Linked DNA regions of Anolis sagrei. The protein of the gene in region 3 purifies or fractionates together with the protein of the main gene of each other region. This does not show direct contact. Links are inferred from orthologs where the notes say so. Each region holds a gene or a part of one and is shown on either strand. Other genes may lie near its edges.

Region 1 (10,507 bases), on a different chromosome or scaffold from region 3:
TTTGTTCTTCTTCACATTTACATGTCATGGACTCCACTTTCTAGCCCCATTTCACAAGGTTGGCTCTGTATCTCACGGTGCCAGAATGCAGTCTGTTCAGCGCCTTCCAAGTTGCCCAATCTTGTGTGTGCCTAGGGGGCAGTTTCTCATCCAGACTCAGCCACTGATTGAAGTTCTGGGCTTTAGCCTGCCACTTTTGGATTCTCACTTGCTGAGGTGTTCCTGCAAGTATCTTTGTAGATTTTTGAAAGCTATTTCTTAATTTAAGACTTTGGCATGCTGGCTGATATCTGAACAGAGGATGGGCTGGAGATGTCAATGCCTCAGTCCTTTCATTACTGGCTGCTACTTCCCAACGGGTATCAGGTGTGCAATACCAGGAAAAGAAAAGGTCTGAGGCTATTAGGTATTGTGGCAGTTGAAGTCCAAAACACCCGGAGGGCCAAAGTTTGCCTATGACTGGGCTAAACACTTCCCGTTTGTTTGTAAGACTATTTTCCCTCTAGGTAGGTCTACTGCAGTGGTTCCCAACCTGTGGTCTGTGGACCACCAGTGGTCCCCAAGAATGAAAATATGGTCCATGCCTTATTACTACACTGTTTCCTTGAAACCACACAGCAATGAGAGCGACTGGTCTTGCGGAATCCTCTTATAGTGCCAAGGCAATGGGGATGTCAGGAGAGGAGAGGCTGACTACCCACAAAAGATTACTACTACCACATCAGCTCGAAATTGTTAAATATGGTTTTCTGTGGGTGAGCAGATGGGGACTACTGTATGGCAAATATTCTGTATAAGAAACTAGAGCTGATGTGATCTATCCAATGCAATTTTCCAAATCAGCATCCCAAATATTCAAACCGAATCTAAAGTTGGTCAAAAACTGATTTCTAACCCTTTAGGTCCTAATGTTGTAGAGCAGTGGTTCTCAACCTGTGGGTCCCCAGGTGTTTTGGCCTACAACTCCCAGGAATCCCAGTCAGTTTACCAGCTGTTAGGATTTCTGGGAGATGAAGTCCAAAAACATCTGGGGACCCCAGGTTGAGAACCACTGTTGTAGAGTGATCCCTGATCAAAAAAAGGTTGGAAACCACTGCTGTACAATGTTGAATCAAGGCAGTTTGACACCACTTCAACTGCTGTGGATCAATGCTATGGAATCCTGGGAGTTGTAGTTTTACAAGGTTGTAGAGTGGTCCCTGGTCAAAGTGGTCCCTGTCCAAAAAAAAAAGTTAGGAACCACTCATCTACTGTATATGATGCAGCTGTGAACAAGTCTACATGAGGACCACCAAATGCAACTGCAAAGCTACTCGATTACTAATCAAGCTGCCTAATAGCAACAGTCACACTTGCCTCAAACAGAGTTCTTTCCTGCAAAGTGGACATTCCACAGATATATATACACATCCCACTTGCTTCATTCCCCCAAACCTCTAAGGATGTTTGCCATATTCAAATAAATAAATAGGTATGGGCCAATGTGGGCCTTCCAAATGTTTTGGACTTCAACAATACAACCGGTAGTCCCTACGTCTGGCATGGGGAAACCTGGGCCCGCCGGGTGTTTTGGACTTCAACTTCCACAATTCCTAACACATTCAGGCCCTTTCCTTTCCCCGCTCAGCAGCTTAAGCAGAGTTGAAGTCCAAAACACATTTATTTACTATTTATTATTTACTATATTTATATACCATCCCTCTCTGCCTGCAGGTGACTCGAGACGGTTTACAGTTGGTACCAAGACCATAAAATACAATTTCAATATAATAAAACAATAGAATAATAAAACCATGACAGAATCAATAAAAATACGTATCATTAGGGTCTCCTCATTAAAAACATTGTCCAGTCACATTGTCATTCATTCCATTTTCCTATGTCTGTTACTCTGTATTTGCAAATGCCTACTCAAAGAACCAAGTTTTAACTCTCTTCCAAAATGTTAAAAGGGAGGGGGCCGATCTGATGTCCTTAGGGAGGGCGTTCCATAGCCGAGAGGCCACCACTGAGAAGGCCCTGTCTCTCGTCCCCGCCAACTGTGCTTGTGACAAAGGCGAGACCAAGAGCAGGGCCTCTCCAGACGATCTTAAAGTCCTGAGAGGTTCATAGTATGCTTAACCCAAAACATACTATGCTTAAGCGACTGAAGGGGAAAAGGAAAGAGCCAGAGGCTGTTGGGAATTGTGAGAGTTGAAGTTAGCCCATGTCTGATTATTGCTTGTTGTTTAATATTGCTTTAACTGTTTTTAATTTGCTTTAGGTTTTGTATTGTTATGTTGTGTTTTGAGGCCTTGGCCTTTGTAAGCCGCATCGAGTCCTTCGGGAGATGCTAGCGGGGTACAAATAAAGTTAATAATAATAATAATAACTTCTTTTGAAAATGCATTTCAAATGTATTGCAGAGCCTTGTTCTACAAGACTTGGGTGAGTCTATTATGATGCAACAGAGATCAGTAACATATGTGTAACTTACATGGGAGTTAAAGTCCAAAGCACCTAAAGCAGTGGTTCTCAACCTGGGGTCCCCAGATGTTTTTGGCCCACAACTCCCAGAAATCTCAGCCAGTTTATCAGCTGTTAGGATTTCTGGGAATTGTAGGCCAGAAACATCTGGGGACCCCAGGTTGAGAACCAGGCATGTAGCCGCGGGGGGGGGGGGGGGGCTTTGGTGGCTTCCCCCCCCCCCCAAATTCTCATGGTGGTCCGCGAAAAGGCCTTCCTGGTACATTATTTAAACTGTTATGTTTATTCATATCATGATATGATCACCATGCTCAATATATCCCATATGCATGGGGGTATTGGGGTAATGATACAAAAGTATTGCTGAAGGCTTTCATGGCTGGAATCACTAGGTTCTTGTAGGTTTTTTCGGGCTATAGGGCCATGTTCTAGAGGCATTTCTCCTGACGAAACGTGCAGGCGAAACGTCAGGAGAAAAGCCTCTAGAACATGGCCCTATAGCCCGAAAAAACCTACAAGAACCTAATGATACAAAAGGTTTGCTAGGGCAGACCCTCTTTCACTCAGACTCAGCCCCCCCCCCCACCCCCCGGAAACAAAATCCTGGCTAGGGGCCTGTTGAGAACCACTGAAAAGGGCCTGACATAGATGCTACTGGGACATGGCCATAAAGCCTGAAAACCTCACACCAACCCTGCCTGTCTTCCATTTCTGCAAGGGGAGCCCCCCTCCATGTTGTCCCCCTCCCTCGCCCTGGGGCGGGGCACCCCATTGGCTAGAGCGCAGCCCAATCAGCGCCCGGAAATTCGGGCCTCCGCTTATCAGGGCCGCACACTCCTTTGGTCCCGCCCTCCTCCCCGCGGCCTGGCCAAGTCCTCTCTTCAACCCCTCACTGCGCGTCCACGCACCTCCCTCCCTCCCTGTACCCAAATTCCCCGGATGTAACATTAAAGTGATACCCACCTCGTCCCGCTTCCTCCCGGGGTCCCTCCTCCACCTCCTCCTCCGCTCCCGGGGGGCGCCACAGTGGCAACCCGGGCTCCCCCCGCGGCGCCGGGGCTGAGGCTGCCGTTGGGGCTGGCGGGCGGCGGGTTGGCCTTCCGTGAGGCGGCGGCGACGGTAGCCGAAGAGGTGCCGGCGGCTGCGAGGGGCGGCGTGGGCACGGAGGCCGGCGCCGGGCCCGAAGCCGGAGGGGCGGGTTGCGGTGAGGGCGGCGGCAGCGGCTGCTTCAACATGGCGGACGCCACAGGCTCAGCTTCCCGAGCCCGCCCGCCTGCCTGGCTTGCCTGCCTGAGCACAGGCGCACAGGAGGCCGTTGAGGCCTAGGATTCCCTTGAGGAGGTTCGAATTGAACCCGGAAGGGGAAGCCGGCCGGCGAAGGAGTTCCCTAGCTGACTGACTGACAGACAGACAAGACAGCGAGGGTGGTCACAAACGAGGGTTCTTAAAGGAGGAGGAGGAAGAGAACCTCAATCGACTCCCGCCCTTCGTTAGCCTAGGCCTTAGCGCGCGCGCGAGCGACTCACTGACTGACTGACTTCCCTGCTTGCCTTCTCTCAGAGCGTCGGGAGCGCGCTCGTTCCTTCGCTTTTTCAACGTAGGCCTCGAGGCCAAGGAACGGGTTTTTACGCTTGCTCGCGCGCGAGCGAGCGACGCGTCCTCTGATTGGTCGCCTGGCCCTGCCCTTTTTTTGTCGCGGGGGGGGAGGGGGGAAGGAGAGAGAAAGGAGAGAAGTTCTAAGGCTCGCGCTCCCTCTCTCTTTCTCGAGCGCGCGCGCTTCAGCCAATCAAGAGGCCGCGAGGAAGAGGCTCAAACCCGCGCAGGTGGGGGTTGGGGGAGGAGGGGGAAAGTCAGCCGTGTGCGCACGCGCAAAAGGAGGAAGTCAAAGCGAGAGAGAGAGAGAGAGAGGGGCGGGGGGAAGAGTGGTGATGTTGGCGCTGAGGGAGAAGAAGCCAACCCCCCTTTTTTTCCCCTTTCCCGACGCGAAACGGTTCCAAACCCCTTTTTTGTTTTCCGTCGAGCCGGGTTGTAGAGGTGGTTATTTTTTTGTTTTGTCCTCCCCCTCTTTTTTCCCCCCCTCTTTTAAGGAAAAAAGGGAAGTAGTACAGGATCCCGCTGGCGCCCGCGCGGACGAGAAGGAGTCAATCCGGTTGCTGCACAATGAGTCCCTGGTGGAAGGAGGGGCTTCGCGATTGCGCATGCGCCGAGAGAGGGCGCGCGCGCTCCCTCTCTCCCTCGGCCCCTCCTCCTTCTCCCGCGCGCGCACACGCACGCTCTCTACGTCTCCCTCTCTCCCTCGGCCCCTCCTCCCTCCTCCTCCCTACGTCTCCCACTAGCGCTTCCTCCCTCCGACCAATGTGTAGGATCGGGTTCCTGGCTGCGGGGGCGGGGGGGAAAGGGAAAGGAGGCGTTCCTCCGGTAAGGGCCCCCACTACACATGCGCAAGAGGAAACAAAGACCCAGGCCTGCCTCGTTATCGCCTGTTCGGAGTGCGCAGGCGCGGGACCCCGAGAGAGAGGGAAGTGGGAACGCCGCGCTTGCGCACAAACCTGCCGGGAGGGAGGGATAAGCCTTTGGGAGCCTCGCAGTGCGCATGGCTAGGGGGGCGTGGCCTCCTGCCAAGGCGCTGAAGCCCCGGATGTCGCTGGAAGGCCGTTGACCCCGTGTGACCCCAGTTCTTCAATGTCACGCGGGTTGCGCCGTAGCCACCTCAAGGACAACGCCACCCCTTCTTTGTATTTAGATTCGTAGTTATAATGTGTTATAGAGTACATTTTTAACAAATATGAGTATGTTACAGTACAGATAATAAGATTAGATCTGTAATAATGGGGAAAACACATTTTTTGTTAGAGAATTTCAGTTGCTTCCGCCTCAGCTGCTTAAGCCCTGGTGTTTTGGACTTGGGCCCTTCCAGATGTTTTGGACTTCAACCCCCACAATTTCTAACAGCCTCAGGCCCTTTCCTTTTCCCTCTCAGCCGCTTAATTATTTTATTTATTTATTCGGCAGTTTTGTAGTCTTCTCACCTCCATTCGAGGGACTCGGGCCGGTTTCCAACATCAATATTACAGACCGTCATTAAAACATCATATTTCTAAATCACACTAAAACATTGAAACAATTAAAATGTCAAAAATACAATCATGATTACAGTGGTCAGTCGTCATCAAAGTCATTATTAGTCGTCATCCATCCATATCACAGGATCATGGCTCATTCGTTGAATGCCAATCCCCAAAGCCAGGTTTTCACCTGTTTCCTGAACGTTAAGATCGAAGAGGCAGTTCTGATCTCCAGTGGAAGGGAGTTCCAGAGTCGAGGAGCCACCACCGAGAAGGGCCCCTCCAGATGATCTTAGTAATCTTGATGGCTCATAGGGGAGGATACATTCGGACAGGTAAATTGGGCCGGAGTCGTTTAGGGCTTTATAGGTTAAGACCAGCACTTTGAATTGTGCTCGGAAGCTGACTGGCAGCCAGTGGAGCTGGCGCAACAGAGGAGTAGTATGCTCCCTGTACCCCGCTCCCGTTAGTAACCTGGCTGCCGCACGTTGGACTAATTGAAGCTTAGTCTTCAGAGGCAACCCCACGTAGAGAGCGTTGCAGTAATCTAATCGGGATGTAACCAAAGCGTGGACCACCGTGGCCAAGTCAGACTTCCCAAGGTACGGGTGCAGCTGGCGCACGAGTTTTAATTGTGAAAAACCTCCCCTGACCACTGCCGAAACCTGGGGCTCCAGGCTCAGCGATGAGTCCAGGATCACTCCCAAGCTGCGAACCTGCGCCTTCAGGGGGAGTGTGCCCCCGTCAAGCACAGGCTGTAACCCTATGCCCTGTTCGGCCTTTCGACTGACCAGGAGTACCTCTGTCTTGTCAGGATTAAGTTTCAATCTGTTGTCCCTCATCCAGTCCATTATAGCGACCAAGCACTGGTTCAGGACTTAAGCGGCTGAGGGGGAAAAGGAAGGGGCCTGAGGCTGGTAGGAACTGTGAGAGTTGAAGCCCAAAACACCAGGAGGAAAGCTGAAGTTTGCCCATGCCTGATCCAGATTATCAAAGCAGATAATATTATTATTAAACTTTATTTATACCCCGCCACCATCTTCCCGAAGGGGACTCAGGGCAGCTAATATGAGGTCAAGCCAAGAATTACAGTACAATAAAATAAAATGCTAATAATAACAACAAAATTAAATAACAGAAAATGATATAAACAGATGCAAAACACAGTGATGAAGAAATAAAATAAAAGCACGGTGGGTGGGCTAAATGCACAGAATAAGACTGATAAAACCCTGGGAGAGATAAGTAAATGGAGAAATATGATGCTAAGGAAAATGGAAGGAAAAAAGGAAGAGGGGCCGACCAAGGGCAAGATGGATGGATGGCATCCTTGAAGTGACTGGCTTGACTCTGAAGGAGCTGGGGGTGGTGACAGCTGATAGGGAGCTCTGGCGTTGGCTGGTCCATGAGGTAACGAAGAGTCGGAAGCGACTGAATGAATTAACAACATGTGTCTGTGGGGGAGCTCAGAAGGGGCGAACAGTGGGATTGAGCCTTCATTAAAGACAAGGGAAAGTGGGACGGAAATGATGGAAGAGCCAGGTTTTTAGATCTTTCTTAAAGGCTGCCAGGGTGGGGGGCTTGCCTAATCTCACAAGGTGGCGAATTTCAAAGCTGAGGGGCCACAATGGAGAAGGCTCTCTCCCGCGTCCCCACAAGCCGCACTTGTGATGGAGATGGGAGCGAGAAGAGGGCCTCCCCCAAGGATTGAAGAGATTGCGCAGGATTGTAAAAGGAAATGCGGTCACGAAGGTAGTTGGGTCCCAAACCAGGGCTTTGTAGGTGATTAATGGCAACCAATTCAGTTCCTTAAACGGGGGTAGACAGCTCCCTGTAATTCACTCCTGATAGCAGTCTGGCTTCTAATCCACACTATCTGCTTTGAACTGGACTATATGGCAGTGCAGTCTAAGATAATCCACTCAAATCAGAGAATGTGGATTTTCTGCTTTGATAACGTGGATTAGAATGGGCATGAGAATTTGAATCCATTGCTGCATTGTAGTCTAGTCTCTGGAGCAGCAAAAACAAGTTTGCCCCTTTTCACATATTTATGCATGGCTTGGCTTGGCTTGTTTGTGCTGAAAATGAAGTTGATTTTGGGAGGCTTCCAAGATTTAAAATATTCAAAGGAAATAGTATTGGGTAGGTTTTGATTCTTAAGTTTTTGGTGCGGGCCATGCCTGCACGTCGGATATCAACAAATTTGATACAACTTACAAAGACTAACAAAAAATTGCACACCCTTAATAGCTATCATGTCTTCTCTCAATTTTCTATTCTGAAGGCTAAATATATTCAGCTTTTTAAGCCGCTCCCCTTACAGCATGTTTTTTAGATCTCTTATCATTCTAGTTGCCCTTCTCAGGATTACTTGACCACATCCTTCTCTAATTGTGGTACCCAGAAAAGGACATAGTATTCCAGGTGAGGTGTGAACAAGGCAGGATAGAGCTATTACTTCCCTTGATCTAGTATACCTCTCTTGATGCAGCTTAGAATTGCATTCCAGGTAGATTCAGTTAAGGAAGTTAGTCCTGCATTTGCAAGCCTGAAGCAGGATCACTGGTAAGGGTGACTTGGAGGTCTCTCATTGATAGGGTCACCGTAAATCAAAGTTGACTTAAGGCAGTTAACAACAACAAATTCTTTCCTGACAGGCGAATTCTTCTTCCTCCTCCTCCTCCTCCTCCTCCTCTTCTTCTTCTTTTCTTTTCTTTTCTAGGATATTTTATGATATATTTTAACAGAAAATTGCAATAAAGATTTTTTTTAAAAAAAGATGTTTTTAATAGGAGGCTAGTGCTGCAATCCTATATGTATATAACATGTGAATAAACCTTACCCAAAACAAAAACTTATGTGTAAATATATGTCTGGAAGAGGCTATGATTCTGACAGGTAAAAGTGTTAGTGAATTTAATTAATTCTGGTAAATGCTGCAGATGAACACTACTTGAGATGAAAATAATATTCAAGAATATTCACAACATTATTGAAAATAAGTTTCTTAAGGTTTGGAAAGGGGACACCAAGGTGGGAGAGATTCTGTGCAAAAAAAAAAAAAAGCAAGCATAGTCACACGCCTCGAAGTAAGGCAAGTGCAAAGCCCCTCTGAACAAATTCTTCCATGAAAACCCTGTGATAGGCCCACCATTGGGTCATCATAAGTCAGAAACAACTTGAAGACACATAAGAGCAGAGATCCTGCTATAGATAGTTTATGTGACAACTTGGTAGCTGAAGAATATAGCAGTGGCTGGGAGAAAATTGGAACAATGACCAACTGTTACAATACTATCATTTTCCCATGTTTCCTCTTAAATCATCCCTTCTTATCTGGAAAAATGTAATCAATATAAACATGGAGAAAACACCAATTATTCAAAATTAAGGACTTTAAAAAAAGGCAAGAAACATTGCCTCTACATATACTCCGGACTAAACAGCAAAATGTTGTCTTGAATTGACTCTTAAGAAATAGCCACGTACCTTTCTAAAATCTCAATGGAAACGAATTGGAAGAGTGCACACATAATGTGGGATGTGTAAACCTCCAATATTCCCAAAAGGTGATACATCTGAAATGTATGATTGGCTAATTAATATTAAATATCCTAGAAACAATGCTATAAAAACTGTCTGGAAAACAGATCTCATAATTACTACATTTTGGATGAAAGCTGGCACAAAGGTGGACATCTTTCTAAGAATCTAAAGGCAATGTGTAGGTGTCCTACCAAGCTAGCCAAAATTTGTTGTGGGCGAAATTGTATCCTCCTCTATCTTTGGCTAGAATTTTAGAGCGTTAAAAGTATTTTGATATACAGAACCATTAATGCTTAAAAGCAATATCGGTCAGAAGACAGAATTCAATGGCCCATTATTATTGCAATCACTCTTTACTGGTAATAATAAAAGTCTGCCACATTAAGATTTACTAGTGATTCTAATAGCTATAGCTAGATCACAAACTAATGACATCTTAAAAGGTTTAACCACAAATGCCCATCTGAACAGCATATGAACAGTTGTACTTAATGAAAAATTGGCATATTGCCTGTGAGCTTTAAAAATGAAAACCAATAGAGGACAAATTTATATGTACATGGTATGTTTGTCATACATCAACAAAGACTCTTACCATTGTTTTTAATAAGATTACTTGTCGTTCTATCTGCAATTTATATCCCACTCTTCTCACAGCATGAGATTCAAGGTGGAATGAACTCGCCTGACTGGTAAGCAGTTCAACATCTTGTCATTTTCCTGCAATAGGACTGTCCAGCATTCATGTACTACACATCCCAATAAACTAGTACATAACACTGAACCAAAAACAATTCCAAAATAAACTCAGGAAAGATACCACTTACAATGCATTGACTAAAAATATTAAATTACTATGTTGCTCACTTCTATTATAGTTTCTATTTGTTCATTAAAAAAAAACGTAAAATATAAAAGGTGGGAGCTTGAACAATACAACTGCCTTTATTTCTGCATATATTATCACAGATATTCATATCCCAGTTGCTTTGCTTGTGGTGTGGGAAGAGGGCACCTCGGCCCAGGGGGCCATAAGGATCAACAGTGTTGGCCTCAAGCAGGCCTTAATTGTTTGGTAGTCCTGCTATGTGGAGACGCTAAAGGACAGCTGTAGCTAAAGGACAGTCGTAGCTTCCCCTTCTGTATACCACCACCTGCATCAATTTTGCCACCAAAAAGTTTATAAATAACTATGTGCAATAATTCTTTATACCAAATGAAATATTGAGAACTGGAAGTACAGCCCTGATGAGTGCAGTTCTTGTGTTCAAAGTGAGATAGTTGCAATGGTTCTTTCAGCAAAAAAATTAAAACATACATTCCTATGAGAGTCCATAAACCAGACTTATTTTATGCATACTGCCCTTTCCTGTAGTTTCTGTCACTATGTTTACTCTTGTGAGTCAAATATTAACATGATACCCAAA
Region 2 (9,751 bases), on a different chromosome or scaffold from region 3:
TGCATTCAGAATGCCTATTGCAATGGTTGAGATGGATCAGCATCCAGAATGCCTCATCCAGAGAACGTAAATTGGTTTGAGAAACCCAATTCATTTTGAAATAGGGGCTCTATGCCTCTGTGTTGACACCTGATTCACAACAGATGTGAATATTTTCACTTTTTTCCACTAAAAGCATTCACCTGTGACTGACCCCCATAATAGGAACAATCTGCTCAGCTTTAGCTATTACGAATAATTTTGTCACATTAAAATTTTAGTAGTAAATGGAGGCAGAAGAGAAACAACACCAAGCAAGTCTTACAATCGCATTCCTTTCCAATCATATTTCCCCCATCAGTTTTCTAAAAGCTAATAATCTAATTCCACAAATTCTGTATACAGTTCACTCAAATGTGGATTCAAATTGGATACACTCCTTGAAACCAAAATACATTATTATCTTGGAGTAAAGCACACTGGGAACCCAGTGGGAAGCATTTCTGAAGCTCTTGCATGCAGGGCTGATGCCACTGGTCTCCATCTTCTGAAGAAGTAGCCATCTAGAGATGAGGCACCCAAAGGATTTGATTTTTCACCTTGGTAAGCAATTTATGGTTTAGCAAGCTGCAGTCAAAACCTCACTCATTTAAATGATAGAGGAAGAGAGAAAACGATCCTGCATTTTAGTCTTCCTCTTTCTCTGAGCTTCATGTGCTCCATTCCCAACTATACTAGACGGAGGTGCTTCATAGAGCAGGATAAAACCTGGGTAAAGGTCGGTTTATGTGGGAAAATGTACTCCTGAGCTATGGACTGGACAAGACAATTGTCCAAGAAGATAATTGCAATTGTTTTGCAACCTGCCAGTAACCGGACCTCCTTCAGTGCCCCTCCAGACCATCAATGTCTTTCTTTCCTGGAAACCAGCAATGGACTGGGCCCAGTGACTGCCAATGGAGGAGCAGGGCTCTGAAGCACTTGTCACACATTGCCACTGCAATACGCAGCCTACGCATGCAATATAGCTCCGGCCTCCCACAGCGTGCCCGACAGGAAGATGCCCCAATTCCAGGAGCAGAGTAGCCAGAAGGGAGGGCTAAAAACAATGGCACCCTACCCATTTCAAGCAAACCTTCTCTTCAAGCCTAAGTCTTCCAGAACGTTTACTCAGGGATCAGCCTGGCAGGGCTCACTTCTAAGTGAGGGTTCTTCAGAGATTGCAGCCATAGAGGACAGGATGGGGGCCTCTCCGTACAAAAAACAAGAAAGGAGAACCCTGCGCCATGAAAAATATCAACCACATGCACATCTAGGCAACCCAAGCTACAGCTATGCAAATGTATCTTTGCTCTTCCATAAATAATATAGGGCATTACTTGGTTCCAAGTGCTGTTGCCTCCTGCAGGCAATACAGTTTCGGGTCCTATATCATGACAACTTATTATGGTCCTCTGCATAGTGTTATTATTAACGCACACACAACTATTTATCTCAAGGGTATTTAAACTGTGTAAAACCTCCAGCCCCCTCAACAAACAAGCCACAGTACAGAATGTATAGTACAGAATGTATATCCCAGTCTGACCAGCGGAGATTCAAACCCTGCATCTTCCAGAGAAGAGATAACCTTCACTCTTCTTCTCCAAGAGAGCACTGTTGGAGGGGGCCTTTGATTTAGACAAGGAGACCAAGTAGGAGTACACTGCCCAGTGCCATGGAAAGGGGGTTGGTTAAGGGACTGAGACAGAGAATGCTATTCTGCATTCAAGACTGCAGGAAGGAAAGACAGGCTTGGACTGGTGCAACCACATTTGCCAAGGTGCCTTCGGCATGGCCTCCATTTGCTCCTTACCTAACCCTGAAGGTCGGAAATCCCCCTCAGTCTCCAGACTGATCCTGCAGATTGCCCTCACCCGCAAGCCTCAGCATTACTCACCAGGGCTGCTGAGACCTATAATACCCCAGCATTGGGAGGGTCATACAATTCTGCTCTGTCCCAATGGTCACCCACAGGACGTCCAGGCAAAGAACCAGCTCAAAAGTTTCCCTCCTCTCTGGCTTACCCCAGACCTGGAATCCCTCTGCAGCAGCCCAGGCCTTGGACAGGAGTGCCCTTACCCATGCCCTATTTCCCCATTCATACAACTTCTTACAGGCAGAGATACCGCACAGAAAGTCCTTGTCTGTTTCCCCCCAGCACCATGACAATATGCCGCTTCCCCATCCCAAATGCCTGCTATGAAGCAGCCCCAAGTGGATTCTGCCCCCCTTGCTTCTCCCTCCTCCCTAAGGCCCTCTTGCAGGAGAGGGATCCTCCTCCCTTCTGCCAAGGCACCACAAGTCTCCCTGCCTGCCTCTGCTGGGTGCCATGCTCTGCCCACTCCCTCCATCCCCCTCCAAGAGGCTGCTTTGCTCCTCCAGGTGAAGACCACTTGCTGCATCCTGGAATCTCCGTATTCTATTGAGGCATGCACAAAGCCTTAAGGAAGCCATGTGCCTCCCCCTCAAAGTATGTCACCCCCATCCTTTTCCTCCCAACACCGTAAAGATCCCAGGTCAAGGTTAACGCTGGATTGGTCAAACATTTTTCGAGGATGACAGCCCATCCTCCTCTAACAAAATATTCTCCCTCCTTTTGGGAAGGGACGCCTCAGCTCACCTTTTCCCCACTCCCCAGGCAGCAACCCCAAAGCCCCCCTCCCCACCTGAGCCCTACCTCTACTTCCTACCTCCCTTGTCAAACCAGAGGGGTTTCTGATGCAATGTTGAGAAGGGAGGAAAGGGGGAAGCCAGGAGGCGGGCGTTCCCCATTCTTTGTACAGTGGTCCGATTCGGGTGGTGGAGGGATGGGGGGCAGACATCAATAAAAGGAAAAGACCTTTATTTTTAATCCTGCACTTCCTCTGGGTCCTCCTTTTGCCCAGCATTCTCTCTTGTTTTTTTCTGATTTTGTGATTGCCTTGGGATCCTGGGCAGAAAGCCCCTTACAAGAAAAGGCTCCTTTCATACAATCCCCAGATCCCTCCTTTTTGCTCCCCCCTCTCGCCAAACAGAATTTTCAGCCACAATGAGAGTTGGTTAATACGTTTCCTATTATTATTATTATTGCTGTTATTATAGCTGCCACTAGAGCACAAGTGACCCTTCTCCTGCCGAGGGAGAAAGAGAGACACAGGTGGAGGGGGCAGTTCAAATATTAACAATAACAATAACAACAATGTCATCATCATAGTAATAAAAAATAGAGAACATAAAATACACTATCATATCTTATCATAAAAAGAATATAAAATAGACTATATAATAGAAATACAAAATAAAAAAATGTAAAATATAATAACAGTATCATATAATAAAATAATATCACATAATATAACAAAACAAAAATATAAAATAGAACAAAAAGAATATAAAAGATAATAATTTAATAAAAATACAAAATAAAAAGGTATTAATATAATACAGACATAAAATAGAAACAAATACAAACTAGAATACAATAACAATATCATATAATATAAAATAATATGACATAGTAATATAACATAAAAATATTAAAAAGAATAAAATATAAAATATAACAATATCATATAAGAAAATATATCATAATTATAGATAATAGTGATATATATATATATATATATAACGCAATATGGATAATATAATATAAATTAAAAAAAATAAAACACAAAATGAAATAAAAATATAAATAAATTATTAAATATTAAATCAGAACAGAATACCATATAACATCAAATAAAAATACAAAGAAGAGACAATAAGACATTAAAGACATTAATGAGAATATAAAGCAAGACTAAAATAACACGATCGAAAATAAAACGGTGGAGGGATCGAAAAAGAACCCAAGCCGTGCTCGTGGGACCTCTTGGGAGTCGGTCCCTTTTGCTGAGAAGGAAGCAGGCGCCCATTTGCTCAGGGCCCTTCTACACAGCCCTACAACCTAGAATATCAAGGCAGAGAATGCCACAATTTCTTGTTTGAACTGGGTTATCTAAGTCCACACGGCCATATATTCCAGTTCAAAGCAGACACGGTGGGATTTGATTCAGCTGTGGGGAAGGGGCCTCCGTGGCGGAAAGAGGAGCGCGAGCGAGAGAGGTCGGCCGGTCACAAGACTGCGGCGGCGGCGCCTCAATAATACACTCAACGCAGGCTACCGAAGAGTTGCCTTCTCCTCCTCCTCCTCCCCCTCCGGATTCCTCTCATGGCGCAGGAAAGGGGCGGAGGGGCTGAGGCGACCCCACCCCAAGGAAGGGCCCGGCTCGGGGCCCAGGCCGCTTGGCTCCAAAGTCTGGGGGAGGGACAACGCGAGGGCGGGGAGGGGAGGTAAGAGGGGAAGGCCTCACCTGCCGAGGGCGGCGCGGCCTGCTCCTCCGCCGAGGCCTGCTCCGCCGGGGGCTTTCCTTCCCCCGCTGCCGCCCGCCGAGCCTTGTGGCGGGGGAGGAGGTGGGGGGGGAGGCGGAGGCGGGCTGGGTGCCGCTTGTTGCTGTTGTTGCTGCTGCTGCTGAGGAGGCGGCGGCGAAGGCGCGGGGGACGCTGCTCCAGTTGCCGAAGCTGGCGTGGTGATACTCTGCTTGAGGGCCATGGCCGGTCTCCCTTGCTCTGCCCGCCTCCTCCTCTTTCTTCTTCTCCTCAGAGGAGGGGGAGGAGCCTCTGGCCTGCTTTTGGGCGGGAAAGAAGAAGAAAGCGAAGAAAGACGCTCCGCCCCCTCCAGCATGGCCCCTCCCTCCTCCGCCGCTTTCGTCGCCTCAGCCGGGCAGGGGCCCCGCTTCCGGGTCACGTGAACTCCCCTCCCTCCCTCGAGGAGAAAGGCAGCGCATGCGTGGAGCCTGCAACTGGCTTTGCGGGTTGGGGGGGTCTCCCATGCACACAAGCGTCTTCCACATAGCTGGATAAAATTCCCCCATTCTCTGCTTTGTACTGGGTTATTTGGCAGTGTGGACTCAGATAACACAGGGCCCTTCCACACAGCCTTGTATCACAGAATATCAAGGCAGATAATCCCACATTATCTGAGTGTGGACTCAGATAACCCAGTTCAAAGCAGATATTGTGGGATTTACTGCCTTGATATTCTGGGATATAGGGCTGTGTGGAAGGGCCCTTAGATAACCCAGAGCACTTCCACACAGCCATATAACCCAGAATATCAAGTCAGATAATCCACAATATCTGTTTTGGACTGGGTTATTTGAATCCACACTGCCATATAATCCAGTTCAATGTCGATTTTATTCAGCTGTGTGGGAGGGGCCTCGAATAACTCAGGCCCCTTCCATAGCTGGATAAAATGTACCTTGAACTGGATGATCTGGCAGTGTGGACTCAGATAACCCAGTCCAAAACAGATATTGTGGATTATCTGCCTTGATATTCTGGGTTATATGAGTGTGTGGAAGGGCCCTGAGTCCACACTACCATATCATCCAGTTCAAGGTGGATTTTGTCAAGCTGTGGAAGGGGCCTAACTGCACCTCCTGACACCAAAAAGTCTCTGCTGCCCAATGTCATGCACAAAGAAAGTGGCCAAAAGTGTCCTCTTTGTCATGCTGCCATTTGAGTTGCTGCCTGCTTCTTTCAAAACAAACGGGTTACAATACCAAAGCTTCCAGCAATGGGAAAAAAAACCTTGGGGCATCTATGCTGTAGAATAGATCACTTTATGTAGCCCCAAAAGATTAGCATTCGATCTGGGTAAATACGGAATATCTATATCTAATCTAGATTTAACCCACTGAGCCCCCGGTGGCTCAGTGGGTTAAAGCACTGAGCTGCTGAGCTTGTTGATCGAAAGGTCGTAGGTTCAATTCCGGGGAGCGGCGTGAGCTTCCGCTGTCAGCCCTAGCTTCTGCCAACCTAGCAGTTCGAAAACATGCAAATGTGAGTAGATCAATAGGTACCGCTCCGGCGGGAAGGTAACGGCGCTCCATGCAGTCATGCTGGCCACATGACCTTGGAGTGTCTACGGACAACGCTGGCTCTTCGGCTTAGAAATGGAGATGAGCACCACACCCCAGAGTCAGACATGACTGGACTTAATGTCAGGGGACTACCTTTACCTTTAATCTAGATCTACTTACGGACCCACCACCAAGACTCTCCCCCACACATACACATTTAGGATTTATTCATATTGTTATTAATTTTATAAGTTTAATAGATTTAACAAATGTCTAATAAATAATCAAGAAAAGTGGTGGTGGTGGTGAGAGCAGTTAAGGAACCTTTAAAACATTGTATGGTATTACATTCAGATTTTCATCTCTATTACCCTAACATTCATTGTTTAAACTACTAAACTGTTTGGAAAGTCTATAAGCTCTTCCACACAGCCCTCTAACACCAAGGCAGAAAATCCCACATTATCTGAATGTAGACTCAGAAAACCCAGTTCAAAGCAGATATTGTGCGATTTTCTGCCATGATATCCTGGGATATAGGCTGTGTGGAAGAGCCCACAGCCCTATAACACAGAATATCAAGGCAGAAAATCCCACAATATCTGCTTTGAACTGGGTTATCTGACTTCACACTGCCATATATTCTAGTTCAAAGCAGACAAGGTGGGATTTGATTCAGCCTTGGTATCTTCCATATACTAGAGCAGCGTTTCTCATCCTGGGGGGGTCACAAGGGGATGTTAGAGGGGTCACCAAAAACTCTAAGAAAACACAGTATTTTCTGTTGGCCATGGGAGTTCTGTGGGGGAAGTTTGGCCCAATTCTATCAGTGCTCTTTGATTTTAGGTGACCTATAAATCCAAGCAACTACAACTCCCAAATTTCAAAGTTTGTTTTCCACAAACTCGACCAGTGTTCACATTTGGACATACTGAGTATTTGTGTCAAGTTTAGTCCAGCTCTATCATTGTTTGAATCCACAGTGCTCTCTGGATGTAGGCGACTACAACTCCAAACTCAAGGTCAATACCCACCAAACCCTTCCAGTATTTTCTGTTGGTCATGGGAGTTCTGTGTGCCAAGTTTGGTCCAATGCCATCTTTGGTGGAGTTCAGAATGCTTTGATGGTAGGTTAACTATAAATCCCAGCAACTACAACTCCCAAATGACAACCCCCCCCCCCTCCTGACCCCACCAGTATTCAAATTTGGGTATATTGGGCATTTGTGCCATATTAGGTCCATTTAATGAAAATACATCCTGCATATCAGATATTTACATTACAATCCATTACAGAAGCAAAATTAGTTATGAATTAGCAACAAAAATAATTTTATGTTTGGGGGTCGCGGCATTAGGAAGTTTGAGACACACTGTAATAGAGAGTTCTTACTGTCCTTGAAACCTAATAACCATGTCTTTTTATGCTGGATCTTTGATTCCAGTTAGTTATCCTTTCCTTTTCTGCTTGAAGATTTTTCTTGGATGTTTCTGTTAGTTTTGTTTCCAAACTGTTCTTTGAAAGCTATAACTTAAGTCTATCTGTTAGTAGATTAGTATTGTATATTCTTATCTCTCTATCTTTCTATCTGTCTGTCTGTCTGTCTGTCTGTCTGTCTATCTATCTATCTATCTATCTATCTATCTATCTATCTATCTATACACATAATAAAAGTTAAAATATGTATGTGTGTGTGGCTGGGGTGTCTACTGACACAGACAGGCTCCTGCTTCCACAATAATAATAGTAATAATGATTATACTTTATTTATATTCCACTCTATCTCCCCATAGGGACTCAGGGCTTATATAGCTCCCACTGCTCAGGAAATACCAAAGCCCCCCCCCCCCCCCCAGTGACATTGCAGGTTATAGTGAGCGCCATGAACATGCACAAGAGCCCTGCTAATGTCCTCCACAAACACCATACTGCCCACCACCCAAGTGAAGGCTTTCAATCCTTGATTTCATGCGTTTCCTCCACCGCAGACATCCCAGATTTCTGACTCTCTCCATCGGTGTGGAATTTGCATGATCCCGCCCACTGCCTCTTCCTTAACCCTTTCCTATTCTTTTCTATGGCATACAGCAAACAGAGGAATTGATCAGCAACTGAACATACTAGAGAGGTTTGGGGAGAACTCACTATGATTCATAGGAATTGTAGGTCCTGGGATGTATAGTTCACCTGCACTCTAAGAGCAGTCTGAACTCCACCAGTGATGGACCTGGAACTAACTTGGCACACAGAACCCCCATGATCACAAAAACATACTGGAGGTCTTTGGAGGGATTTATAGGAGTTGTAGTTCACCTACATCCAGAGAGCACTATGAACCCAAACAATGATGGATCTAGACCAAACTTGGCATGCATACCCAATATGCCCAAATTGGAATACTGGTGGGTTGTGAGGGGAATTGGCCTGGACATTTTGGAGTTGGAGGTACTGGAATTCATAGTTCACCTGCAATCAAGGATATAGAATTGGACCAAACTCCACAGAGGCTCCATGACCAGATACTGGAGGTCTGTGGGGGAAATTCACCTTGATTTGGGGGAGTTGTCATTCACCTACATCCAGAAAGCACTGTGAACCCAAAAACTGATGGATCTGGACCAAACTTGGCACACATATCTGATATACCAAAATTTGATTACTGCAAGGTTTTGGAGGAAACTGACCTTCCCTTCTGGGAGTTGTAGTTAACCCACAACCAGAGAAACTCTGACCTTCACCGATGATGGATCTGGACCAAACTTGACACACCCCTTGACTAACTCGGCCTACTGGAGAGGTTTGAGGGGACTGACTCAACATAGTGGGAGCTGTAGTTTACCCTGCAGCCAGAGAGCACACTGAACCTTACTGATGATGCATCCAGAGCAAATTTGCCCAACACAACCAAACCAACTTGAAGTACTGATGGAGGTTCTTAGGGTTAACCTGGCATGATGTGAGTTGTAGTTCAGCCACAACCTTATGCATTTTGTACAATTAAAATGCCCTCAATGTTTTGTTTTGTAAGATAATTGTTAGTGTTATTTTTCTGTTTATATGTTTTGAATTTAGAAGTTAAGGGAAGTTAATGCCTCTAGACCAGGGGTCAGGAACCTTCGGCCCTCCAGGTGTGGTGGACTTCAACTCCCACAATTCCTTGAGGCTCGGCATTCGCCCCAAAGGCTTACCTTGGCCTCAAGGAATTGTGGGAGTTGAAGTCCACCACACCTGGAGGGCCGAAGGTTCCCCATGCCTGCTCTAGACCATGGCCATACAGCCCGAAAAAACTTACAACAACCCAGTTAAGGGGAGCATTCAATAGTGAATAATATGTAGTTTCAAATGAACCTAGAGATGTTTAATCTTCCAAACAGACTTTTTCTCCATTTTATGTGGTCTTCAAATATGAAAGGTAGAGTGATTTTTGTAAAAACTTGTTTAGATTTGTGTTCTGTGTGAAGAAATGAGAAGTATGTGATTTTCAATGCAAATTTCATAAAATAGTTCATTTGCCATTAATGTTAATGGTTCAAAGAATGTCAGGCTGAATTGATCGGCTCCTATGTTAATCTTGCCAAGTCTGACCCTTCTTGCAAAAAATTTGGACACCACTGAGTCAGCCAATATATCTGTCCTCCTACAGACAGACAATTCAGCCAGGCTGGTTGGTAGATTGTGGGCATTACAGTTCAAAAAGCTACTGATGTCAAGTTCCGTTCTTGTCACTCTGGTTCCAAATCCACCATGAGGCCCTTTCTCTAGCAAAATGCGACAGCAGCAGAGTGAGTGCAGCCTTGAGTTTTCCAGAACCTTTGCTCAGACTGGAGCAAAGCAGGGCAGGGAA
Region 3 (10,828 bases):
GTGCTAGGAACTGAAGCCTAAACCTCATCAAAGCAGAGTTAAATAATATGCAGCTTTATCCTTTCTTCACGCTCTTTATCAGTGTCCTTCCCACTCCATCCTATATCTCCTGTCTGAAATTCTTAATACAAGCAGTCCCCATGTTACAAACAAGACAGATTCTGCAGGTTTGTTTGTAAGTTGAAACAGGCACATTTCAGGAGTGAATTTCTCTTCTGAGGGGTAGATGTCTCTCACTTCCTGTTCTCTCAGCCCTGTTCTTAACTATGAGTTGTTTGTAAGTCAGATGATTGTAACTCGGGACTGCCTATACACTCTTTTTCTCCTTTCTTCAATGTTCCTGCCTGCAAGAAACATTTATAGTATTAGTTATTTGGGACAAGAATCCATTTGTGACCAGGCTACCTTGGAGATCCTGGAACTTACAATCCATAAAAAACAACTTTTCTAAGTTCAGGATGCAATACAGAACTAAACAAATGTCTCATTGTAAATGTTTTTGTCTTCATATGAGAACAACAGAATCTAAAAGACATGATGTAAATGTGCTTACAGAGCCAGAACAACAATTATTTTTGGTACAACAGTAGTTTTGTCCAATTTTAAAAATAACTTTCCCCTCCAAACAATGCCCCGTTGTTCACTCATTTCTTTGGCTAATACTCCAAATTACTTTTTCCCAATACTTCTTTGGATCCTTTTCTAAAATTGGTGTTTACTGGAAGATACATTCTTTTAAATCATATTTTAGAAACCCAAGTTAAAACATGTGATATCAGTTCTGATTATTCACACTGTATTATTAACTAGTATCTGCAATAAGTAAAACCAATTGCTGCATATGCACAGTATATACACATATAAACCAAATTAAGTTTATATTTGTTTCCACATTGTGCAAATACAGCAGGATGAATTTTCACCAAACTGGGAGATTACATTAAGGTGATCTAACTTGAAAAGCACTTATTAATATAATATCAGTTCGGTTTGACCCACATAGAAATCCTAAACTAACTCTAAAATAATTTTGATTTGATACCTGAAGACAACTATTTATTTAATGAAAGAAATGGATCAATTGTGTGATTTGCACTTTGGATCAACTGACTGGTCCAGACCAAGAATTTCTGCCCTTTTCCATACTGCAGCCTACTTATCAGTAACCTTTTAGTCTCTATACATATATGATCATCAGCAATGAGTACCTCAGCTCCTCCATTATTCATCCAATGCAGGAATAAATTAGCCTGTCCTGTGATAATTAACAAGTAGAAAACTGCCCTTACATCAATATCTAAACTCTTTTAGAAGAAAAAAAAAACAGTTTTTATGAACTTCTTAAGAAAATGAAACCAATGTAGCTTTCACGGCTAACTGGAGGGCTAACCTAGCCATTTTTGTAAGTAACAGCAAACATGAATAATTCTCCTTTAACCTCCCATCTGCTTACTGTTAATATTGTTCTACTTTTGTAACAGCTGTTTGCCTCTACTAGGTTCTGTGTGAACATTCCTCATGTGCACTGATATGCATAGATAACCATACATTTCAAAATAAAGAAAGAAGCTAGAAACTAATTTCTCTACAGCATAGAATTGAAATATTACAACATTACTAAAAAGGCTAAAGGCTTCTATGCAATGACTAGTAAAGGGAATTCAGCTAATAAAAAAACAAGGAGCATGAAGGAAAAAGCCCAATTACTTTAAAAATACTATTTTAAACTGTGAGTTTCATCCATGGTGCTAGACAATAAATCACTGACAGATGTCATGCATAGTCAATTTTTCCACTTTTGCTAGGGCATAGCACTGGTCTGAAATCCTTATAGAATCATAGAATCAAAGAGTTGGAAGAGACCTCATGGGCCTTGCTGATAAACTTAGTGCCGGAAGTTGAAAGGGGCATTAAAATGATTATATTTATTTCCCCTTTCTTCAAATCTATTCCATAACTATGGAGGTTAAGGAAACGAATGAGAATAAAGAATAAACTGGACCAATGATTGTTTTTGAATTAGCTATGAAAGAGATGCTGTCATTCTTATGTCATTTTATGACAACTGCTCTGCACTGTTTGAATAGAACGCTAGAAAAGGATATCTCTGATCTGATTCAGCTTTATTATTCTGTTCTTACAGCCAAAATGCCTTTATATGTTCTGGACCTCATCTTGCTAAGAATGACCTGAAGATATTTTCATTTTCTTAAACAACAGAATCCCTTTCACCTGTACTTCAATGAACCAACAGTGATTATATACCTGAAACATAACATCTATACAAAAATACAAACTGCAAAGCCTGGCAAAACAGGTAAGAATACAGTACAGCCACCACATTCATGAAGACTATGTTCCAAAATACTCCCAGCCCCACAGACAGCTGAAACCTTGGGTAATAGCAAACTCTATATTTTAACAATACTAGGGAGGAAAGCAGGGCATAGAATTGCATTGGAGGATCTGGAGAGGCCCACAAACACTGAAACTGTGGATATTAAAACTGCAGATATTAAATCTGTGGATAAAAGTGTGCACTGGAAAAAGAACATTGTTTTCAAAGCTGAACAGTCATTTTCACTCATACATACCCTAGGTCTTCAAGTGATTCCAGAATATCATTCTCCATGAGCTCGAACTCCATTCTGGAGCTTCAGAAAGAATCCAACAGAAAAATAAACAGAAGCTGGAAACTAGAATCAGCAAAAACAAAGCCAAATTAGAATTGCTTGGGAGAAATGCATGGCTACCTACATGCTAGCATAGAGCCCAGGAAGGGTACCTTGTACAACTGGGTCCCTTGTCCACTGCCACCCATCCTAGAATCACAGAATTATAAAGTGGGAAGATACTACATCCAGCCAAAGCTCCTGCAATGCACAAAGCACTCCTGATACATAGCCATCTAGCCTCTGCGTAAAACTCCAGAGAAGGAGACTCCACCATACTTCAAGACAGTACAATCTACTGCCAAACAGGTGTAAGAGCCAGGAAATTCTGTTTAGGTCAGACGTCAGAACTCAAACTGTAGCTGTCCAGCTGTTTGGGTCTCCGATTCCCAGAATTCCTGACTACTGAACAATCTGGCTTGGGCTTCTGGGTGCTGGAGGGCAAAAACAGCTGAAGTAGGCATGGGCAAACTCTGGCCCTCCAGGTGTTTTTGGACTTCAATTCCTACAATTCCTAACAGCTGTTAGGAATTGTGAGAGTTGAAGCCCAAAACTCTTGGAGGGTTGAAGTTTGCCCATGCCTGCTTTAGCCTGTGCTTCAAGTCCTGCCAGCTGTTAGGAATTGTGGGAGTTGAAGCCCAAAACACCTGGAGGGCCAAAGTTTGCCCATGCCTGCTTTAGCCTGTGCTTCAAGTCCTGCCGGCCATTAGGAATTTTGGGAGTTGAAGCCCAAAACACCTGGAGGGCCAAAGTTTGCCCATGCCTGCTTTAGCCTGTGCTTCAAGTCCTGCCGGCCATTAGGAATTTTGGGAGTTGAAGCCCAAAACACCTGGAGGGCCAAAGTTTGTCCATGTCTGCTTTAGCCTGTGCTTCAAGTCCTGCCGGCTGTTAGGAGTTGTGGGAGTTGAAGCCCAAAACACCTGGAGGGTCAAAGTCTGCCCGTGCCTGCTTTAGCCTGTGCTTCAAGTCCTGCCTGCTGATAGGAATTGTGGGCGATGAAGCCCAAAACACCTGGAGGGCCAAAGTTTGTCCATGACAGCTTTAGCCTGTGCTTCAAGTCCTGCTAGCTGTTTAGGAATTGTGGGCGTTGAAGCCCAAAACACCTGGAGGGTCGAAGTCTGCCCATGCCTGCTTTAGCCTGTGCTTCAAGTCCTGCCAACTGTTAGAAATTGTGGGAGATGAAGGCCAAAACACCTGGAGGCCCCAAGTTTGCCCATGCCTGAGCTGGAGGGTCACAGTTTGAAGATCCCTGGTTTAGGCTGAATGTCGTTCCTGCATTTTGAGCCGGCTGCTCTGGGTCCCACGCATCTACATTGTCAAGTTAACGCAGTGCAGTGCCACTTTAACAGCCATGGCTTAATGCTATATCATTGTGGGGGCCTTCCAGAGAGAGTTGGTGTCTCACCAAACTACAGTCCCCTGGGATCCCATGGCATTGCGCCAAGGCAGTTAAAGTGGGGCCAAACCACAATGTAGATGCCCCCAGCCTCTGGAGCAGCAGGGGAACAAGCCTGCTCCCTCTGCCTCAGTGTGGCATCCTTTCAACTATTCAAACATGGCTCTCCCTTCTCTCAAACCTTCTTTTCTCCAAGCTAAGCCTCCCAACTCCCTCACTCTTGGGCATCTTTCCCATTTCCCGGTGGGGAAAGGCCTAGTGCGGCCTCCACCTTCGGGCCCCCTCCCAGAGGCCTGTCGACTCATGGCGAGCCCATACTTTTCAGAGGGTTTCCTGCCCTGGCCCACAAGGCGAGCAGCCCCTGCGTCGCCTGAGAGGGCGGCCCCTTCCCTTTCCCCTGGGCTGCCTGGGGCTCCCCCCTCCCTCGGCCCCCACACGGGCCCCGGCGCCCACCTTCCGCGCAGCTGCTACGCCGCCGACTGCTGGGTTGGCATGTCAGCCGGTGGGGGAAGGGCGAGGAGAGAGGGAAGGACCTCCCCGCCTCACCTCTCACCCCGGACTTGAGGGGAGGGTGGCCAAGCTAGGCGCCTGCGTTTTGGAAAAAGTATATCCTTCTCTCTGCGTCTCCAGCCAGCGGGATGCTGCTCCCTCTTTTTTTACACATCGTGTACACCCTGGGATGTCTTTTTCTTCTTAACGCCGAGAGTATACTTCAGCGTGAAACAGGGGTTTTCTGTCAGGCACTCTAAAGGACAGCCCGCAAAAGACTTTTCTCGCTGTTCTTTCTCTCTGCGGGGAAACCACGTTGTAAAGCACGGGGCCTGAAAGGAATAGCGCCGACGACGTGGGATGAGGGACAAACTACTTCAGGCGTTTCGTTTTGGGAAACGATACGTTCCAGCATGTGCCTTCGACCCCATTTACACTGCCATACAATGTTGAAAGCTGCCATATATAGTCAGTCGATTCATATAATGCAGTTTAATTCACACGATGCCGCTTCAAACTGAATTATATGCTCCGTGTTGACTCATATAATACTAAAATATAATACTAATATTGTGCTGTGCTAATATATTGTATACTATTCAAACTACAAGAGAGGAGATTCCATCTGAACACGAGGAAGAACTTCCTGACTGTGAGAGCCGTTCAGCAGTGGAACTCTCTGCCCCGGAGTGTGGTGGAGGCTCCTTCTTTGGAAGCTTTTAAACAGAGGCTGGATGGCCATCTGTCAGGGGTGATTTGAATGCAATATTCCTGCTTCTTGGCAGAATGGGGTTGGACTGGATGGCCCATGAGGTCTCTTCCAACTTTTTGATTCTATGATTAATATTGATAATAATATTATAAAGTAATGCAATATAATACTACTAATAATACAAAATAATTATATATTTCATATTACATGTAATATTACTAATAATATTACAGTACAGTGGTGTAGTGCAATATGGGAATGTATGGTATGGTACTCATATTGTGTTATGCTAATAATATAATATATTGTATTTACATATAACTTGTAAGCCACTCTGAGTCCCCTTCGGGGTGAGAAGGGTGGCATATAAATATCGTAAATAAATAAAATAAGGTTTGACTTGTATAATGCAGTTTGAAACTTCACTCTATGGCAGTGTAGATAGGGCCTTGCTCTGCAGCCTTAAATAGAAAGCAACCTTTGTTGACTCTGAAGAGGGCCGGTGTTGTTATTTTTGCACACAAAATGGAAACTTGAAATCCTGAGAATGGTGGCCAGTTAGCTGTTGGATGAGAGCAATGAATGATGGGTGCATCTATACGGGATAATTAATTCAGTTTGATATCATTTAAACTGCCACGGCTCAATGTTGTGGACCAGGAGCTGTAGTTTTTACGAAAAATAATAATTAGCCTTTTCTGCCAAAGAATGCAGGTGCCTCACCAAACTACAGATCCAAGAATACTACAGCATTGATCTATGCAGTTAAACATGGTGTCAACCTACATTCCCAGTTAGTGATGCTGGGGGGACACCTGCTCGGACCCCTGGTCTTTGACCTGTGGGGTCCCACAAGGTTCAATTTTGTCTCCCATGCTATTCAACATCTGCATGAAACCGTTGGGAGAGGTCATCCGGAGTTTTGGAGTGCGGTGCCACCTCTACGCAAATGACCCCCAACTCCACTACTCATTTCCACCAGATTCCAAGGAAGCCCCTCAGATACTGGACCAGTGCCTGGCGGCTGTGTCGAGCTGAATGAGGACGAACAAGCTGAAGATTAATCCCGACAAACAGAGGTCCTCCAAGTCAGTTGCACATCTGATCAGGGTATTGGGTGGCAACCTGTGCTGGACGGGGTTGCACTCCCCCTGAAGTCACAGGTCCGCAGCTTGGGGGTCCTCCTGGACTTGGCGTTGACACTTGCGCAAGTGTCAGCGGTGGCCGGGAGGGCCTTTGCACAATTCACGACCATACCTCGTGAAGTCGGACTTGACCACGGTGGTCCACACCTTAGTTACCTCTAGATTGGACTACTACAACACACTCTACATGGGGCTACCCTTGAACTACAACTGGTCCAAAGCTCGGCAGCCAGCTTAATAACGGGGGCAAATTACAGGGAGTGGTCAACCCCCCTGTTTAAGGAGCTCAATTGGCTGCCATTTATTTTCCAGTTCCAATTCAAGGTGCAGATCATCTACAAAGCCCTAAACGGTTTGGGGACCCACCTACCTTCGCGACCGTATCTCCGTCCACAAACCTGCCCGACCTCTTCACTTTTCGGGAGAGAGCTTTCTCCTCTGTGCACCCCCCCCCCCCCCAACCCTGGAATTCATTGCCCGTTGAGATTAGGCAAGCCCCCACCCTAGAAACTTTGGAGAGTGATTTCACATTTCCCGCTGTCACTCCCCACTTAATGTTCCTCCACATTCTGCAGATTCCTGCCGTTATGAAGGCCTGTCTCCATTACTCCGTCATTTATGAGTTTCTCTCTTACAAATATACCTGTTTTTATTTCTACCTCATCCTGAATTTTATCATTACCTGTACATGTGGCCCGCTCACTATGATCGTGTTTGATTTTTCTCTGTATTATTTTTGCTTTAAAAAAAATATTTTTTTTGCTTTATTTATCTTTTGCGATGTTTATTTCATGTTTTTGTATTATGTTGTTGTTATGATATTGTAATTGCACTACCGGGCTTGGCCTCATGTAAGCCGCCCCAAGTCCCCTTTGGGGAGATGGTGGCGGGGTATCAATAAAGATTATTATTATTATTATTATTATTATTAATTCAACAATGTAGACTACTGCTGTAATACCAGTGCTGCAGAATCTAGTGCGCAAGGCCTAAGCAGCATTTCTCAAACTAAACTAATACACGTTGAGCATCCTGAATTTGAAATGTTGGGGACCAAAAAAGTTCAAAATTTCGGAATTTGGAATACTGGAAGGAGATAAGACTCAAGTCTAAACACAAAATTCATTTATGTGCCTCACACATTGTCTGACGGTCATTTTCAACACAATATATGGAATTATTTTGTGTATGAAACAAACTGTGTGCGTGCATTAAACCATCAGAAAGCAAGGGTGTTGCTATCGCAGCCATCTGTGTGAACAATTTTGGATTTCAGAATTCCAGATAAGGGACATTCAATCTTTATAACTATTCCTGGATGGTAGTAGCATTTCTGGCTGTGCACAAACAATGAAGAAACGCCAGTAGATGGCACCTGCCTCCTTATTGTGTGCCTTTGGGTCATTTCCAACATATAGGGACCCACTCATGGGATTTGCTATCAGGCACATGTGTCAAACTCAAGGCCCGAATCTGGCCCACCATGTCATTTTTTGTGGCCTTCCAGATGCTGGACGACATCTGCATTCCTCATTAGACATGACTAGAGATGATGGAGTTGTGATACAGTAACATCTGGAAGGCTGCAATTTGTTCTACTTATTCTGGGCTTAGATTTAGATACAAGGCTTATAGGTATGTTGCTTGACTTTAAAGTATTTTTAACCTTTCCCCAACCTCAGAGACACAAGAGACACAAGAGCGGTTGGGTTGCAATTCCCATTATCCCCAGTCTGCATGGCAGATGATCAAAAGTGATGGGAGTTGTCGTTCAGTAACATCTGGGGTTTAAACTAAAGAGCAGAAACCACTATGTAATATGTTATAGATAGATAGATAGATAGATAGATAGTTGGCTCTCTGTATCCATGGATTCTCCTTCCGTGGATTCAATTACCCTTTGAAGGCAACCATAAGGCAGATGTGACTCTTAATGAAAATTAGTTTGGCACACCTCATCTTACTGTTTTGTCTTCCTCTGAGGTTGAGAGAATGTGACCCAGTGGGTTCCCATGGCACAGCAGAGATTCAGACCCTGGTCTCCATAGCTGTAGTTTAACACTCAAACCACAACACCACACTCCTTTTTTAAAAAAAAAACCAGCCTAGCTTAATGTAATTTAGGGCTCATTTGCCCTACATAATTATAGTGCCTTAAAGTGATTTCTAACTTACAGTGACTGTGAAGCGATCCTATTACAGGGTTTTCTTGGGTAGATTAGTTCAAGATTAGTTGTTGTAATGAGAACATATCATTTGAGACAACAATATATTTCGAGAAGATTTCTAGAATTGCTGTGTGCCAAGAAAAGAGAACAAAAGAGTCTGCATGTATAAATCTAATTCTAACTTCAATTTATTAATCCAAACTATATTAGCCAATACATACACTCTATCCCGAGATCCAACTCAGAGAGGTTTAAGAAAATAATTCACTGTAAATTATCTTACAAAAAAATCAGGAAATTTGAAATATATGGGAGTGAGAAGAATGATGTTCACATTTATACACACTTTTACCAAAATTCAGCACCTTTAAAAAAGCTATTTTTAAAATTGTGAGATTTAAAGTAAAACAAATTTATTTATCTCTAAATGCATGCATATATTATCAGGCATTTTAAAATGAGACACTCAAACCAACATGGCAGGCCACCTTTCTTCCCATAAGAGGTGATATTTATTTATTTACGACATTTATAACCCGCCTTTCTCAACCATATGGCAACTCAAGGCAGGTTACAGATTGGCACGATTCGATGCCATGCATTCATAAAAGTGCAATTAAAAACAGTCAATATAACAATATTAAAACATATATAAAAACCATTAAAACATGTAGTCACCAATGTCATCTTACAAACCATATTTATCTCTTAAGTTCCAGCTTCAGCAGCCAAAGATGAGGAACTATGAACGTTGCAGGCCAAACACATTGATTTATTATGTGCAAGGCCAGAATGGAGAACAGATGCCACATGTCAGGAATATTTCAACAATACTAATTAAGGGACATCTCCACTACAGTACATTACTTCAATTTTATTCCATTTCAGACTGCCATGTCTCAATTCTATGGAATCCTGGGAGCTGTAGTTTCTTTGTCAAATAGTGCTGGTGCCTCATCAAACTACAACTCCAAAAATTACATAGCATTGATCCATTGCAGTTAAAGGAACCTTGAACTGAATTAATTCTACAGTACAGATGCACCCTTACTCTTAAATATTCTTTATAGATGCACCTCTAAAGCCCTATACAGTTCTGGCCCAACTTACTTGTCCGAAAATATCTCCCTCTATGATCCACCTCATCCACCCCACCTTAAGTTCATCGGAGGAGGCCCTGCTCTCGATCCCACCACCCTCGCAAGCGCGACTGGTGGGGACAAGAGACGGCCTTCTCTGTGGTGGCCCCCCATCTGTGAAACACACTCCCCAGTGAAATCGGGTTGGTCCCTTCTCTTCTGTCCTTTAGAAAAAAGCTTAAATCATAGTTATAGGACCAAGCATTCGAGCAACAAACACAGCAATAATAATGCATATTATTCCATTGACTATGAGTTTGAATGTGGATTTGGACTTGGATTTGTTAACTTTTAAATGAATATTTTAATCTACTGTTTAGTTAATACTTTAATTGTGATTTTATTGCTATTGTTTGTATGGCATCTAATGATTACTGGTTGTAAGCTGCCCTGAGTCCCCCTTCCGGGGTGAGAAGAGTGGGATATAAATGTTTGAAATAAAATAAATAAATAAATAAGCATCCAACAATGTAGTTATGTGTTGTTGAAGGTTTCATGGCCGGAAACACTGGGTTGCTTTGAGTCTTCTGGTCTGTATGGCCATGTTCCAGAAGCACTCTCTGCTGATGTTTTGCCCATATCTATGGCAGGCATCCTGCCACATCTATGGCATGGATGCCTGCCATAGATGTGGGCGAAATGTCAAAAGAAAATGCTTCTGGAACATGGCAATACAGACCAGAAGACTCGCAGCAAACCAATGTAGTTATAGTTTCTCTCTGTCATCTTCCTGTGTTTCAAAAAGGAGAAACTCTCAGAAGTTTAAAATATTCAGCTTAAAATAACAAAGTTCAAGCCATGATGCCAAAATCTGCTATTCTTTTGGCAGCAGGCTAAAACCTTTATATTCAGGCAGGCTTTTAATGAAGAAAGTTTTAAAGACCAAGTCAGGAGGTGCTGTGTAGTGTCTTATCTACATATTTCAATATTTTAAAATAATTTTAATTGTTTTAACTATTGTAATAATCGTGTGCTTAATTTATTTTAGTGTTTATATGTTTTAGGCTTTAATTTGTACATTGTATTGTTTTTAACATTGTTAAACTCTTTTAAGAGAGAGAAAGTGAGATAATAATAATGATACAAATAATATAGTCTAACAGTACA

What was found. The genes of interacting proteins can lie anywhere in the genome.
Region 1: the proteins of FAM98A (region 3) and ATXN2L purify together in Homo sapiens (co-immunoprecipitation; 3 studies listed by BioGRID and IntAct, with this or other methods). This does not show direct contact. The link is inferred for Anolis sagrei from reciprocal best matches to the Homo sapiens genes FAM98A and ATXN2L.
Region 2: the proteins of FAM98A (region 3) and ATXN2 purify together in Homo sapiens (co-immunoprecipitation; 3 studies listed by BioGRID and IntAct, counting the BioPlex papers as one, with this or other methods). This does not show direct contact. The link is inferred for Anolis sagrei from reciprocal best matches to the Homo sapiens genes FAM98A and ATXN2.

What each region holds. Positions count from the first base shown.
Region 1 is NC_090026.1:22,716,402-22,726,908, forward strand, and holds the start of ATXN2L (ataxin-2-like protein), read right to left. Parts: upstream 4,668-10,507; 5' UTR 3,702-4,667; coding exon 3,430-3,701; intron 1-3,429. UniProt on the Homo sapiens protein: Involved in the regulation of stress granule and P-body formation.
Region 2 is NC_090034.1:30,793,031-30,802,781, reverse strand, and holds the start of ATXN2 (ataxin-2), read right to left. Parts: upstream 4,668-9,751; 5' UTR 4,592-4,667; coding exon 4,353-4,591; intron 1-4,352. UniProt on the Homo sapiens protein: Involved in EGFR trafficking, acting as negative regulator of endocytic EGFR internalization at the plasma membrane.
Region 3 is NC_090021.1:50,028,360-50,039,187, reverse strand, and holds the start of FAM98A (protein FAM98A), read right to left. Parts: upstream 4,628-10,828; 5' UTR 4,522-4,627; intron 2,697-4,521; 5' UTR 2,648-2,696; coding exon 2,595-2,647; intron 1-2,594. UniProt on the Homo sapiens protein: Positively stimulates PRMT1-induced protein arginine methylation. Involved in skeletal homeostasis. Positively regulates lysosome peripheral distribution and ruffled border formation in osteoclasts.